Rattus norvegicus: one gene and its partners. The protein of the gene in region 2 purifies or fractionates together with the protein of the main gene of each other region. This does not show direct contact. Links are inferred from orthologs where the notes say so. Each region holds a gene or a part of one and is shown on either strand. Other genes may lie near its edges. The genes, in order: Strip1, Slmap and Strn3.

Region 1 (3,593 bases), on a different chromosome or scaffold from region 2:
CCTTTGATACACACAACTAACTCTCCTCCTTGTCCCAAACACCTCTGTCCCAGTGAAGACCGAACCAAGTGACTTCACTTAAACCTAGCACTAACTGGCTTGTGTGAGGGCAGCTAAGGAATGTCATCCTGAGAAATCTGAAGTTTCTACTGAAACTATAGCAAGCCCAGGAGTCAGGAACACTGATCCCCAGCAAACCCAGAACCTTAAAGTAATCCAGACTGACGTGGGTAGATGACCAAAGTACCACGTCCTCCTTCCCTGTACACTAGTAGGAAAGGCAGGAAGACAGGCAAGCACTTAGCTGGGCGGAGGAAGAGATACTTTTGAAAACTGACAATTTTCAGACATTTCTATGAGAGAACCTTACACAGCCTAGACTGAACTTGAACTATTTAGCCAAAGCTGACCTAGAACTTCTGATTCGCCTGCTTCCCCCTCTCAAGTGCTGAGATTACAAGTGTGTGCACTGCTATGCCTGTCCTATGTGGTGCTGTGTGCGGATGGAACCCAGGGCTTCTTACCTGCTAAGTAAGCACTCGATCACCTGTGCTACATCCCCAGTCCCCAGAACCTGCATCTACAGACAAGGCGACAGGGACAGTTTTGCTTTCTTTTAATGTAAACAGAATACACAAACACATTAAAAACCCCACCATGACATGAGACCACACAGAGTTTTGTATATTTACAGGCCATGACAATCAAGAAGAAACCAGCACCTCTGGCTTCAGGAAGCCTCACTCCACTTTTGACCACATCCAAAACCAGGGTGCAGAGGCTGTGGTATCTATCACTTCTGGACAAAACTCAGCAGGATACCGGAATGACACGAGATACCCCCAGAGCACAACCAAGGCGCTGACTCTGTTCCTGGCCCTCATGCCACCCCTCCTTCTTGACCAACTGACGTGCCAAAGCAGCTCAGGAGTCAGCATGGCCTCAAGACACAGCTGCCGATGAGAAGGGACACAAGGCCCTTCTCAGCTTTTCCCAGCCTGGGGCTACTTGTGAAATGAGTTTCACGCAGTCAATCCAAGGGAGGAGGGTAGAAACTGGGGAAGTGGAGGAAGAGTAGATCCCAGCTTGGAGATGACTGCTCCTGAGTAGGATGCTGGGAATCAACCAGAGGCTAACCTGGGTTCACTCACGGGCCCAGGACTGGTTCTGGAGGACTCAATGGAGTTGTGCTGCCACCTGGAGGGCAACAGGAGCACTGCAGCAATGGCAAGGACAGTCCCTCGGGTATGAGACAGATCACAGTCTTTTTCATCCCTCCTCACTGCAGCAGCTCTTCCCAGGAAATGGGCTTAGAGAAGACCTCCCTTTCTAGCCATAGGTCATAGTTCATCTGGAAGTCCTCAGGAAGATCTACCCGTTGGCCCAAGACGCTCTGCAGGCAATTGTCCACTGGCAAGAAGTCAGGGTTGCTGTGGGTCCGGTCATAGCGCCGGGCATTGAAGCGTTCAATGTTGGCACGGAGAGCACACTCCTCTGCTTGGAAGTCCCATGGCCGGGCATCGAGATCTGGGAAAAGCAGGAAAACCCAGTTAGGATTCAGCCCTATATAGCTCCTCATGATTTTAACCAAAAGGATCACTCCCAAACCCTCAGAAAGCTGAATAGAAATTCTTTCCCAGAAGTACGGTCAAATCTAAGGAGACAATCCTTAACGCTGAAAAAGAAACTTGCAGATAGATGGGAAAGCCTCCTGCCCCTCCAGGAGGGGGAACCAAACTCTTTATTAAGCACAGCCTCCCCTTGGCTCCAGAGGACAGACACATAACCCTACAGTCCCTCATCTGCTCATTCTCTCACCTCCATGACAAACGTCATGCACCACCTTGAGCCCAGATGCCAGGTATAGAGTTACAGAGAGATGTAACACAGCAACACCCACACAGACAACAGCAGACTGGGAGAAGACGCTGTAGACAGCCAGCAGTCTACAGAGGCCCAGAAGCAGGAAGAACACTGCTAACGCTCAGGGACTAAGGATGGTTTCCCCTGCCCCTGTGCAGTCTGTCTGCAGGCTCAGCAGGACACTGGAGAGCGTGGCTATCTGTGGCTGCTGGGATCTGCAGCGCTCCTGGGAGCAATGCTCAGCAGGTACTGAGGGTCATACTCTGTCTGGAGTCTTGGGTGTGACAGAGACTTGGGTGTGACAGAAAAGAAAGCCACAGACTATGGGACCAGGCGAGTGAGTGAGTGAGCACCCGTCCCTGTCTTAACGTTTGATTTCATTCCTAAGGGAATTAGAAAGCTAATCAGGAATTTTACTCAGGAGGCAACAGTACAGGATGCGTATGTTGAAAAGATTACAGGAGCCAAATCTGAGGCCGACAGTGGGAGGAGAAGCTAGAGCAGAGCCAGTGAGGATCTACTGCACTCAGGCAGCCAGGAGGTAGTAGGCCAGGAGGTAGTAGGCCAGGAGGCTGCAGCAGAGATGAGGAGTGGGCAGAATCTTACGGCAAATTCTAGAAAAGATGGAATTTAGAGTGGAGGGACAGAGAAACAGATGAATGCAGATTCTCAGCAGCTTCCCAAAGTCTTGCCCAGAGCCACAAAAACTAGATACAGGCCCTGCTCAATGCCTAAGGGCAGAGAAAATGAAGGTACCACAGGCAAGGAGTCCAAGGCGTCCCCTGCCCTACCCTCTCCCGCCCGCGCCGCAGGTGGCCTCACCATTGCCGTAAGCCCAGTCGTCGTTCAGCCGGTGCCGCACCTTCTGGTAGATGGCAGACATCGTCTTCATGTTGCTCTTGCGCCACTGTCGTCCCAAATACTTGGTCTGCACCTTGAGCAGCTTCAGCACATAGAGCTGCATCATGGCCTGTTTCACCTTCAGGGCCCGCTTCAGGATGGGCGCCGACTTGAACACCACCAGCATCTGGGCGGCCATGGTGGCAGCCATGGTGAGAAAGCAGTAAGTGTGAGTGCCACTGCACGGTCCCTTAGCACTTCTGGGGTAGCAAACGGGATGACAAGCCATGCAGTTTCTCTTGAACTCACTAGTCTGCTGGCATCTGGAGCTTTAAGCACTACAACTAGCAGAGCTATAGGCGAACCACAAAGGTTGGTCACCCTAGTTACGGGCCACTCTGTAATCTGGTTTCTGAGAACTCATGGACCTTCCTTGTTCCATGGGCAACCCAGGGTTAAGGTGGTTCCTGACTCCTGGCTATCATTTCCCACCCAGGATGAGGAGGACAAAGTGTCTCCATCCAGGAGGTTTGTTTGAGGTCATGACTGAGAGTCTCTTCCAGCTTCTGCTTGTACTCATCAAAAAACCAGAAGTCTGCAGACCTGAATGAGGACAATGCTGCCAGGCAAGCCGCACCTGAGAACCTGTCCCAGGTGGAGGGGACACAGCACATCCCAGGCTGGTTGCTCACCACTCACCATAGTCCTTGAGTGTTTCCACTTCGTTAGCTTGTTCAAGATCCGAAGCAGATTGATGCAAGAAAAGAGATTCCTCCAGCAAAACTGGTTGTTGTCACCAGCTTCCTACAGGGAAAGGCCAGACACAAACACAGCTGTCACGGCTGCAGGCTGTTCACTGGCTGCTCAGTGCAATGTCCAAAGGCCTGACT
Region 2 (4,330 bases):
CCAGGCACACGAATGTATTGCTTTATACAGCCTCATTTTGCTACTTATCCCTCTTCCTGGCAATTTAATAAACCATTCAGCAAATTTGGTATTTATTATAGTCCTCCAACCATCCTTCATTCAGCTTTTGTTGCCTCTCCTAGGAGGATGTCCCTGTCTCCCTTTAGAAGAGTTCCGAATATATCAGAGTTGTTACCTTATTTTGTTCCTTCAGTCTCAAACCCACTACACTGGTTATGTAACCAGAGGGCAGAGACTAAGGCTGTGCTCATCCTTGTCTCCTGGACACAGCATAGTGTCACAGAAGCAGTGAAATGAATGCTCTGTTAAACAATGTGGTCTGACACCACCGAAAGCCTCTTTACAAAGGGGTTGTATATTGTTGTTTAGTTATAGAAGAGAAAAAGGGTCCTAAAGAAGTTTAAAGACATGTCCAACGTTTCATAGAGAAGTCTGTGGTCATAGGAATCTCAAGAATGAAGGCGACACTGATTTGACAAGATTAAGATTCTCTGCAGTCTTTCCCTAAGGATTTCATTCAGCTCTGGCCACCGTTTTTTCCTTCTTCGGAACAATGACTCCTTACATACTGGTCTTTCTCCTCTCGGTTCCCAGGCTTAACACATACTTCAAGATTCTTAGTTGGGTAATTCCCCGTATTTTCCTATTAGAAACTTTTGACCTTGACCCCTCTTTGGAAATGTGTTTTAAAACTTTCAAGTAGGTTGTGGTAGTACATGCCTTTAATCCCAGCATTCTGGAGGCAGTAGCAGGTAGATTTCTGAGTTCTAGGCCAGCTACTTAAAGAGCTCCTGGACAGCAGGAGAAACCCTGTCTCTAACTCCACAGTCACCCCCCCCCCCCCTAACATTCTGTTCTCACTAATCCAGGTAAGAATCCACGAAGGAGTTCTGAGAAACATCCTTGCATCAGAGAAAAGGACAGGAATTTGGGATGGAATTCATAAAGCACGGAGAATTTAGCAGAGGGAGGTCATCAAATCAGGCGTCATCAAATCTAGGGACTTGTGGAATTTGGTCATAGGAAGTGCAGGGGTGAGTGACTCAGTTGCCCACAGCTACGGGGGCTGCTAATGAGTCTTTGACTGGAACTAGCCTCTTTACGTGTTAGTATTTTCAGTGAGAGCTACAGAAAATACATTTAGTACACGTTGGTACTTTCTTACTCATAAGTTGCCACTGTATGTTTTCCAAACATTCAACCTCTCAAAGTTTCTCTTGCCCTTAACGAAAATGGTCATTAAGGTTGTTCGGAGCTTTGAAGCTTCTGGCCCTTAACAAAGATGGCGCCGGGGGTCATGTTAAAAATAAGCTTGCCCTCTTCTCTGCCAGTGACAAACATGGCTTCCACGGCGTCGGTCACATGACATCCCAGACTACGGCACGGGAGACGGCGGAGGAGGGCCCTTGAAAAGGGTGCGCGTTCCCGTAGCGGTGGACCCGGTAGGTTTCAGTCAGAGTCACTATGGCGGCCAACGCTGGCAAGGTAAGCTGAGGCGGCGGCGGAGGTGGCGGTGGCGGCGAGGGAGGCAGGACCCGACGTTCCGTCCTGGCTCCGGAATCCCGTAGCCTGACCCAGGAGAGGTCGCCCGAGGTCGGAGCAAGCAGCCGGGGACTGGCGGGGGCTGGCTGAAGGGGGCGAGGGCTGAGGCGAGCGGGCGCCGGTTCCTGACTGCCGTTTGTTTTGGTGTTTCCCCCACTAGGTCGGAAAGTTTCCTGCCTCGTCCGCCACCGCCTGAGCTTGCCGCACTGGCTGCGAGTGGAGGAGGCTGCGGCGGACCCAGCCCCGGCCTCCAGGCCTCTCCCTCCACCTCCCGGCCAGCCTCCCTCCCCCACACCGTCGTCCTCCGGGAGCTGCCAGTCCCTGAGATGCGACCCTCGCGAGGACGCTCCTGAGGGGAGGTGGCCCATGTGCTGAGCAGCAGAGCCCAGAGCTCAAGGAACCAACTTCCCGCCGGCCCGGGCGCCCAAGCCTCCCTGGGGTAGCTCCTCGCTCTGTCCGCACCGGCCTGCAGAGCCGGGTCCCCGCCCTGGTCCGGGGACACCCGCCAGGTGCTCGGGACTCGCGATCCAGGGACCGCCCGTATCCCGGCCGCCCTCCCACGCCTCCAGCCCGGGATCGCAGCCTCGGCTCACGCTGGGCCGGGGACCCCTGCCACTCCCGGGCGGCCTCGGCGCAGCAGGGCAATGCAGCCCGGCCCGGTGGCCCTCTAGCCCTCCTCGTCGTCTGTCCCCGCACCTCTTCTCATCCCCGAGGCCCCTGAGGACCGGCGGTGGCTGCCCGGAGGTCCTTCACTCCTCTTCCTCGGGCCCCGGAGGACCTTCCTGGCTGAGCCGAGTCAACCCTCTTCATGCTGCAGTGCCGCACCGTTTCCGCTACCGAAGGGGAGAAGTGGCCGGGATCTCAAACAAAACACAAGAATTTGTGTGTGACTCATCTGCTCGGATACCTCCCGTCCCCAAACTGTCTTCCAGGAGTTTCCTTGGCCGAAGCTGCCCAATGTTTGAGCTTTTTCTTCCTAGGGAAGATGGACTGAAAGCTGCTAGTTGGGGACTTTTTTTGGTCAAGGAGCCTCTGTATTTTAAAGGAGGTGATGGGGCTTGCTCTGGCTTGTCTTCCTGCCCAATTGAAGAGTTGTTGATGTTCACTGGTTATGCTTAGACAATGCACAGTTTGTTTTAATTTAAAAATTTTGGGGGGATAGGGGTGTAGGCTTGTGAAGAGCATTCCGAACCTGGAGGAGCTCCTCGTTATCCCTGGTCCAGACACCCCCCCAGCCTGTCCTCGATGCCGTCAGCCTTGGCCATCTTCACTTGCCGCCCGAACTCACACCCGTTTCAGGAGCGACATGTCTACCTGGACGAGCCCATCAAGATCGGCCGCTCAGTGGCACGCTGTCGACCAGCGCAGAATAATGCCACCTTTGACTGCAAAGTGCTGTCAAGGAACCATGCTCTCGTCTGGTTTGATCACAAGACGAGCAAGGTAATGTCAGTACAGTGTTTGACAGTCTTTACTTTTCTTTCCTTTTGCCCTCTCTGAGAGGTTTAATGTAAACTCGATCTTAGGGTTTGTTCCCAGAGGACACTTTTCTGCGAAGTCTTGGAATCAGCTTTTTGTGTATCCGAATTCTAGTAGAAATTGAATCGAAGTGGTTGAATGAAAAACAGAGAAGGTATTGTTACTAAATGTTTCAGTAGGGCGATGGCTTCTTGATAACTTGGTCATTCCCAGTGAAATCCCAAACCTTAATTCGTTTAGGAAAGGTAGATAGTGAAACGTGACCTCTTACTTTCAGCCCTTTTAGAAAGGGGAGCCTGCAGTTCAGTGCTTGATTAAGCAAGCACCAGTTCCCAAAGCAATGCAGGAATCTGTGGCCTCTGTTACAGTGAGGCTCAAGTGTCTGTGCTGAAATGTAGTTAACACATAGCTTGTAGTTGAATTCAATTCAGGGTCTGTCTGGTAGGATAACTGGAGTGTAAACTTAATGTTTTTGTAAGGGTTGACACTTACTTGCCTCGATGAAATGATTTGTAATATTAAAGGCAATTTAGTTAAGCTAGAGTAATTTTAACTACATCTTCGGAATTCTGTTTACAAGTTGGATGAACAGAAATCTATGCTCATAAGAGTCACTTTTTAATTTCTTTGGTAAATAATGCGTAGTTATCTGATGATATGCAGAAATTAGTATTGATTAGTTTATTCTTAGATTATATCCAATATTGTCAGTTATCATTTTTTTTTTTTTTTAAAGACAGGGACTAGCTGGCCTGGAGCTTATTCTATTGATCAGGCTGACCTCAAACTCAGAGGTTTACCTGCCTCTGCCTCTCAGGTGCTAGAATTAAAGGTCACCATGCTTGGCCTTACTTTTAATCCAATTTAGCTTGTTTATCTTGGCACTGTACTTTGCTAGTTACTTATATATATATATTTTTAAAAAGGATCCTTTTAGTTTTTCAAGAATGTGTATATATGGAGAATATTTTAAAGAACTGATCTTTGAGCCTAAACCTAAGGTTTTGGTTGAACTACTGAATTAATTCCAACTCAAACTAAGTTACATAAGACTAATAGGACCGTCTCCAGTTTTGTCTTCTGACTTTTTGCCCCCTCTTTCTGACTGACATGATTAATTTTTTTTTTTTAAGAGAAGAATTTGTGCTCAAGAGTGGTGTTTTGAAATGAAAGAAACTTGAGCCTCTAGAGGAAGAAAGTAATACTAGTACAGCTACTGAATTAAGGAATTACTAAATAAACTTTTTTTTTGGTTCTTTTTTTTCGGAGCTGGGGACCGAACCCAGGG
Region 3 (3,646 bases), on a different chromosome or scaffold from region 2:
CCATACGTGCAGAGAATATTACATGCAGTAAGGGTAATATCCTCACTAAATCTTGCTCATTGTTAGGGTTATGAGTCAGAATTAACTTCATTAATTAGAGAATTAACTTCAATTAAGCCATTTTATTCATACCCAGCACTTAAAACAGGTAACAGCATATGGACATACAGGAAGTAAATTCTCGACTGCCTTGATTACCTAAAATTAAATGATGGGCATGAATAAAAATGAATGATTCTTGTTTTAAAAAGATCTGTTGGAGGGAAAAGATAAATTTGTAAATCAACAGAACACTTCAAGATCAACTTCAGAAATCAAAAGCCACATAATGAAAATCTCAGTCACAAAATCTAATAAACTAGAACCAAATAGCTCTGATTATTAATACCACGTATCCTTGATCTTAATTTACCTGCTACCATACACTCAGACACACAGAGCTCACACAGTACATAGTAAAAAGCCACCTATAACAGGCAGACTTCCCCCACCCTGGGATTCTTTGTCCCCTTACCCCATTCTGTACCATCCCCTGAACTCCGTGCTTCACCAGCCCCTTCACCATCTTCTGCAGTCACTAAAAAGTCGAATTCTTTCAGTGCTTCCTCAGTATCAGGATCATCAGTTAAGTCAGCAGCTAAACCTTCATTACCTATCTGTAAAGAGAAGATAAGCCAATAATTAATACTTTTTAGTCTATATTTTAAAGAGTTCATTTAGTATTTCCACCCAACAGTACTTACACATCTACTTTAAAGTTATTCAGATCCACAACTCTCCTTTCCCCTAGGATTGATAAGTCTCAAACTATGCCCTAGATAAACAATTCAACACTGCTGTATGAAGATCACTTGTAACAAACGAAGCAAGCGAGGAGGGTGCTGGGAAAGGCCAGAGTTCTACTCAAGAGTTTCTTTAATTAGAGTAGGTTCACAGATGATCTCTACTAAAGAATCATCTAAGCTATCTTAAATTGCTGATGACACTGAGAAATCTGTACTAGCTCTGATTCACGGAAGCAGAGAATAACCACTTAGTTATTAAGAATAAACTTAGTTGTGCAACAAATAATAAAAGCAACCTACCTCCCAGAACAAAATAGTAAGAAAAATCAACATCTTGGGTTTCTGAAATGGCTCCGCAGGAAAAGCAGCTGCCTGATGGCCTGAATTTTATCTTTATAAACCAAATAAAGGTGGGAGGAGAAAACTGCACAAAGTTGCACTTCACATATGTGCTGCAGCACATACACACTCCTCCATACATATTACACAGCACATAGCAAGTTTTAAGAAGTAAATCTCTACCCAATAGAGTATATCATACATGTGAAAAGCTAGAGAAAGGTTGAAACTGCTTTTGTAGATTGAAAGCTTTTGACAAACACTTGCCTTTTTTTCTGTATTACTACAAAATCTCCAAGTAGTACAATTGAATTTACTCACATTTTTTTTTCCTTTTTTGATAGACAGGGTATCAAGGGTATCTAGAAGCCAAATGATTTCAAACTCACTATATAGGTGACGACATCCTTGAACTCTCTATCTTCCTGCCCTCACATCTCAAGGGTTGAACTACCACATCCACTATGGTGCTGAGGCTGAATGCAGGAATTGGTGCATACTAATCAAATACTCTGACACACAGCCTCAGCCCTCTCTATTTTTTTTAAATACACTTAAATATTGAACATTACTACTTTGATGCTTACCAATGGGACATAGTCTACTTGTGGTCCAGTAGAATTAACTCCCCATCTACTACTAAAATACATCAAGTCTGTTTCTTAGTGTTTGAAGAAAAGTCACCTTTTATTAATCCTCACCAAATAACCAGAATGCTGGCACATATTAACTATCCATACATCAGTCTCTCTCCCAAGGTGGGAGCCTTTACACTACGGTTTCTGTTCATTCATCTCCCATGTGATACTGGACATGAAAATATAAACTTCAGTGTGACTCCACACTGGGATAAGATTGAGGAGTGTTACTTTATTAAAAAAAAAAAAAAGGTGCAAAGCACTGGACAAATGCTTTAGAAACAGACTCCTCTTAGATCATACATGGAAGCATAATCCCCGCAACATGAACGTGAACTGAGTAAGAGCTGTCAATTATCATAAACCTTTCGAGGGACGACCAAAACAATGACTGTATACAGGAATAACCTAAGTCTCCTACTTTGTGCTTATGGATCCGAAGTTTGTCTTTTCCTTCCGGGATGCCCTCAATCATGTCATTTTCTTCTTCGTCACTGTCATCGGCATTTTCTAAGAAATTGAATGTCTCAAGAACATCACCAGAGGGCCTGTAGAAAAGGGAAAAATGGTCCCAACTATTTCAAAGATTGACTCTGATATTTCTTCCTGCTTCCTAATTCCTGGATCCTTCTCATTATCTAGGGATACTATGAATTGAACCCAGGATGTCAAACATGCTAGACAAGTGTTAAATCAATAAGCCACATCCTGACCCTTCTAATTTCTAGTTTAAAACTACCTTAAGCTAACATTTGTATTTCAAACACAACCTAATTTTTTGTTGTTGTGAGATAAGATCTTACATAGTTCAGATTAGTCTCAATTCATTATGTAGATGAAAATAATTTTTAACTCCTGATCCTCCTTCCAGGAGGCTCCTGGTCCAAGACATCCCAATCATTATAATGTATTACCTAAAATTTTTATTCTAGAGTATCTTTAAAGATTATTTGTGCTCTGCAATTAAAATAAGGAATGTTCTGAATTTAATGAGTTTTATCCAAAGCTTTTTGTCTAAAACATTTTAGGTAAATGCTACTAGAAAATGAAATCTAGGGACTGGAAATGGCTCAGCAGATAAGACTACAGGTAAGAGATCTTTCAGGGGACCTGAGTTTGGGTCCCAACACCCACATCAGGAGCTCACAATAGTGTAAAGCTTTAGCTCTAGTGGATATAATGCCCTCTTTGGGCCTCTGCATGCATTTACATTTATATGTGCATAACACCCACACCCCTCCACATACACAACCGGCAAAATTAAAAATAAGTCTTTAAAAAGAAAAGCAATCTACTAAGATTAAATGATCAAGCATGCTATAATTTCTGAAAAATACCAGAAAAAGCAATTTAGCAATTTTTTTATAACTACAACCACTTATACTTTAGCCTAAATATTTGAAGACTAAATAGTAAAACAAAAGCTAAATTTATTAAACCTGCCCATATTTAAAATTATTAAACATATATTACACAAGATATACCAATCTGTGGGGAGCAGAGGAAGTTCTGAGTAGATGTGCATTGTTGACAGAACTGGTCAGGCTTGGTGTGGTCATGCATGTCTTTGATCCCAGTGGTTGGGTGGCAGAGGCAGGAAGATCTGTGAGTTACAGGCCAGCCAGAGCCACCTAGAGAAAGAACCATGTCTCAAATATAAACGAAAAAGCAAAAAAATTAAGACATGAGTGATGTCAAAAGACCAAACCTCAGCCCCATGAGGGCTGTAAACCCTTTACTGGATGAGGCTCATGGTCGTGCAATACCTTCCTCGGATCCAACTGCGAATGCTGACAGTTTGTGTAGAAATTCTGTCTAACTCCCAAACCCAGAAACGTCTTGAAGACTGCTCCCCTGTGGAGACTGTCCCTTACCAAAACTAGC

Evidence for each region.
Region 1: the proteins of Slmap (region 2) and Strip1 purify together in Homo sapiens (affinity purification with mass spectrometry; 4 studies listed by BioGRID and IntAct, with this or other methods). This does not show direct contact. The link is inferred for Rattus norvegicus from reciprocal best matches to the Homo sapiens genes SLMAP and STRIP1.
Region 3: the proteins of Slmap (region 2) and Strn3 purify together in Homo sapiens (affinity purification with mass spectrometry; 5 studies listed by BioGRID and IntAct, with this or other methods). This does not show direct contact. The link is inferred for Rattus norvegicus from reciprocal best matches to the Homo sapiens genes SLMAP and STRN3.

Annotation. Positions count from the first base shown.
Region 1 is NC_086020.1:197,935,970-197,939,562, forward strand, and holds the end of Strip1 (striatin-interacting protein 1), read right to left. Parts: intron 3,508-3,593; coding exon 3,403-3,507; intron 2,891-3,402; coding exon 2,686-2,890; intron 1,528-2,685; coding exon 1,280-1,527; 3' UTR 600-1,279; downstream 1-599. UniProt on the Homo sapiens protein: Plays a role in the regulation of cell morphology and cytoskeletal organization. Required in the cortical actin filament dynamics and cell shape. Part of the striatin-interacting phosphatase and kinase (STRIPAK) complexes.
Region 2 is NC_086034.1:1,788,995-1,793,324, reverse strand, and holds the start of Slmap (sarcolemmal membrane-associated protein), read left to right. Parts: upstream 1-1,422; 5' UTR 1,423-1,506; intron 1,507-1,723; 5' UTR 1,724-2,808; coding exon 2,809-3,006; intron 3,007-4,330. UniProt on the Homo sapiens protein: Associates with the striatin-interacting phosphatase and kinase (STRIPAK) core complex, forming the extended (SIKE1:SLMAP)STRIPAK complex.
Region 3 is NC_086024.1:74,824,401-74,828,046, forward strand, and holds part of Strn3 (striatin-3), read right to left. Parts: intron 2,311-3,646; coding exon 2,184-2,310; intron 657-2,183; coding exon 515-656; intron 1-514. UniProt on the Homo sapiens protein: Calmodulin-binding scaffolding protein which is the center of the striatin-interacting phosphatase and kinase (STRIPAK) complexes.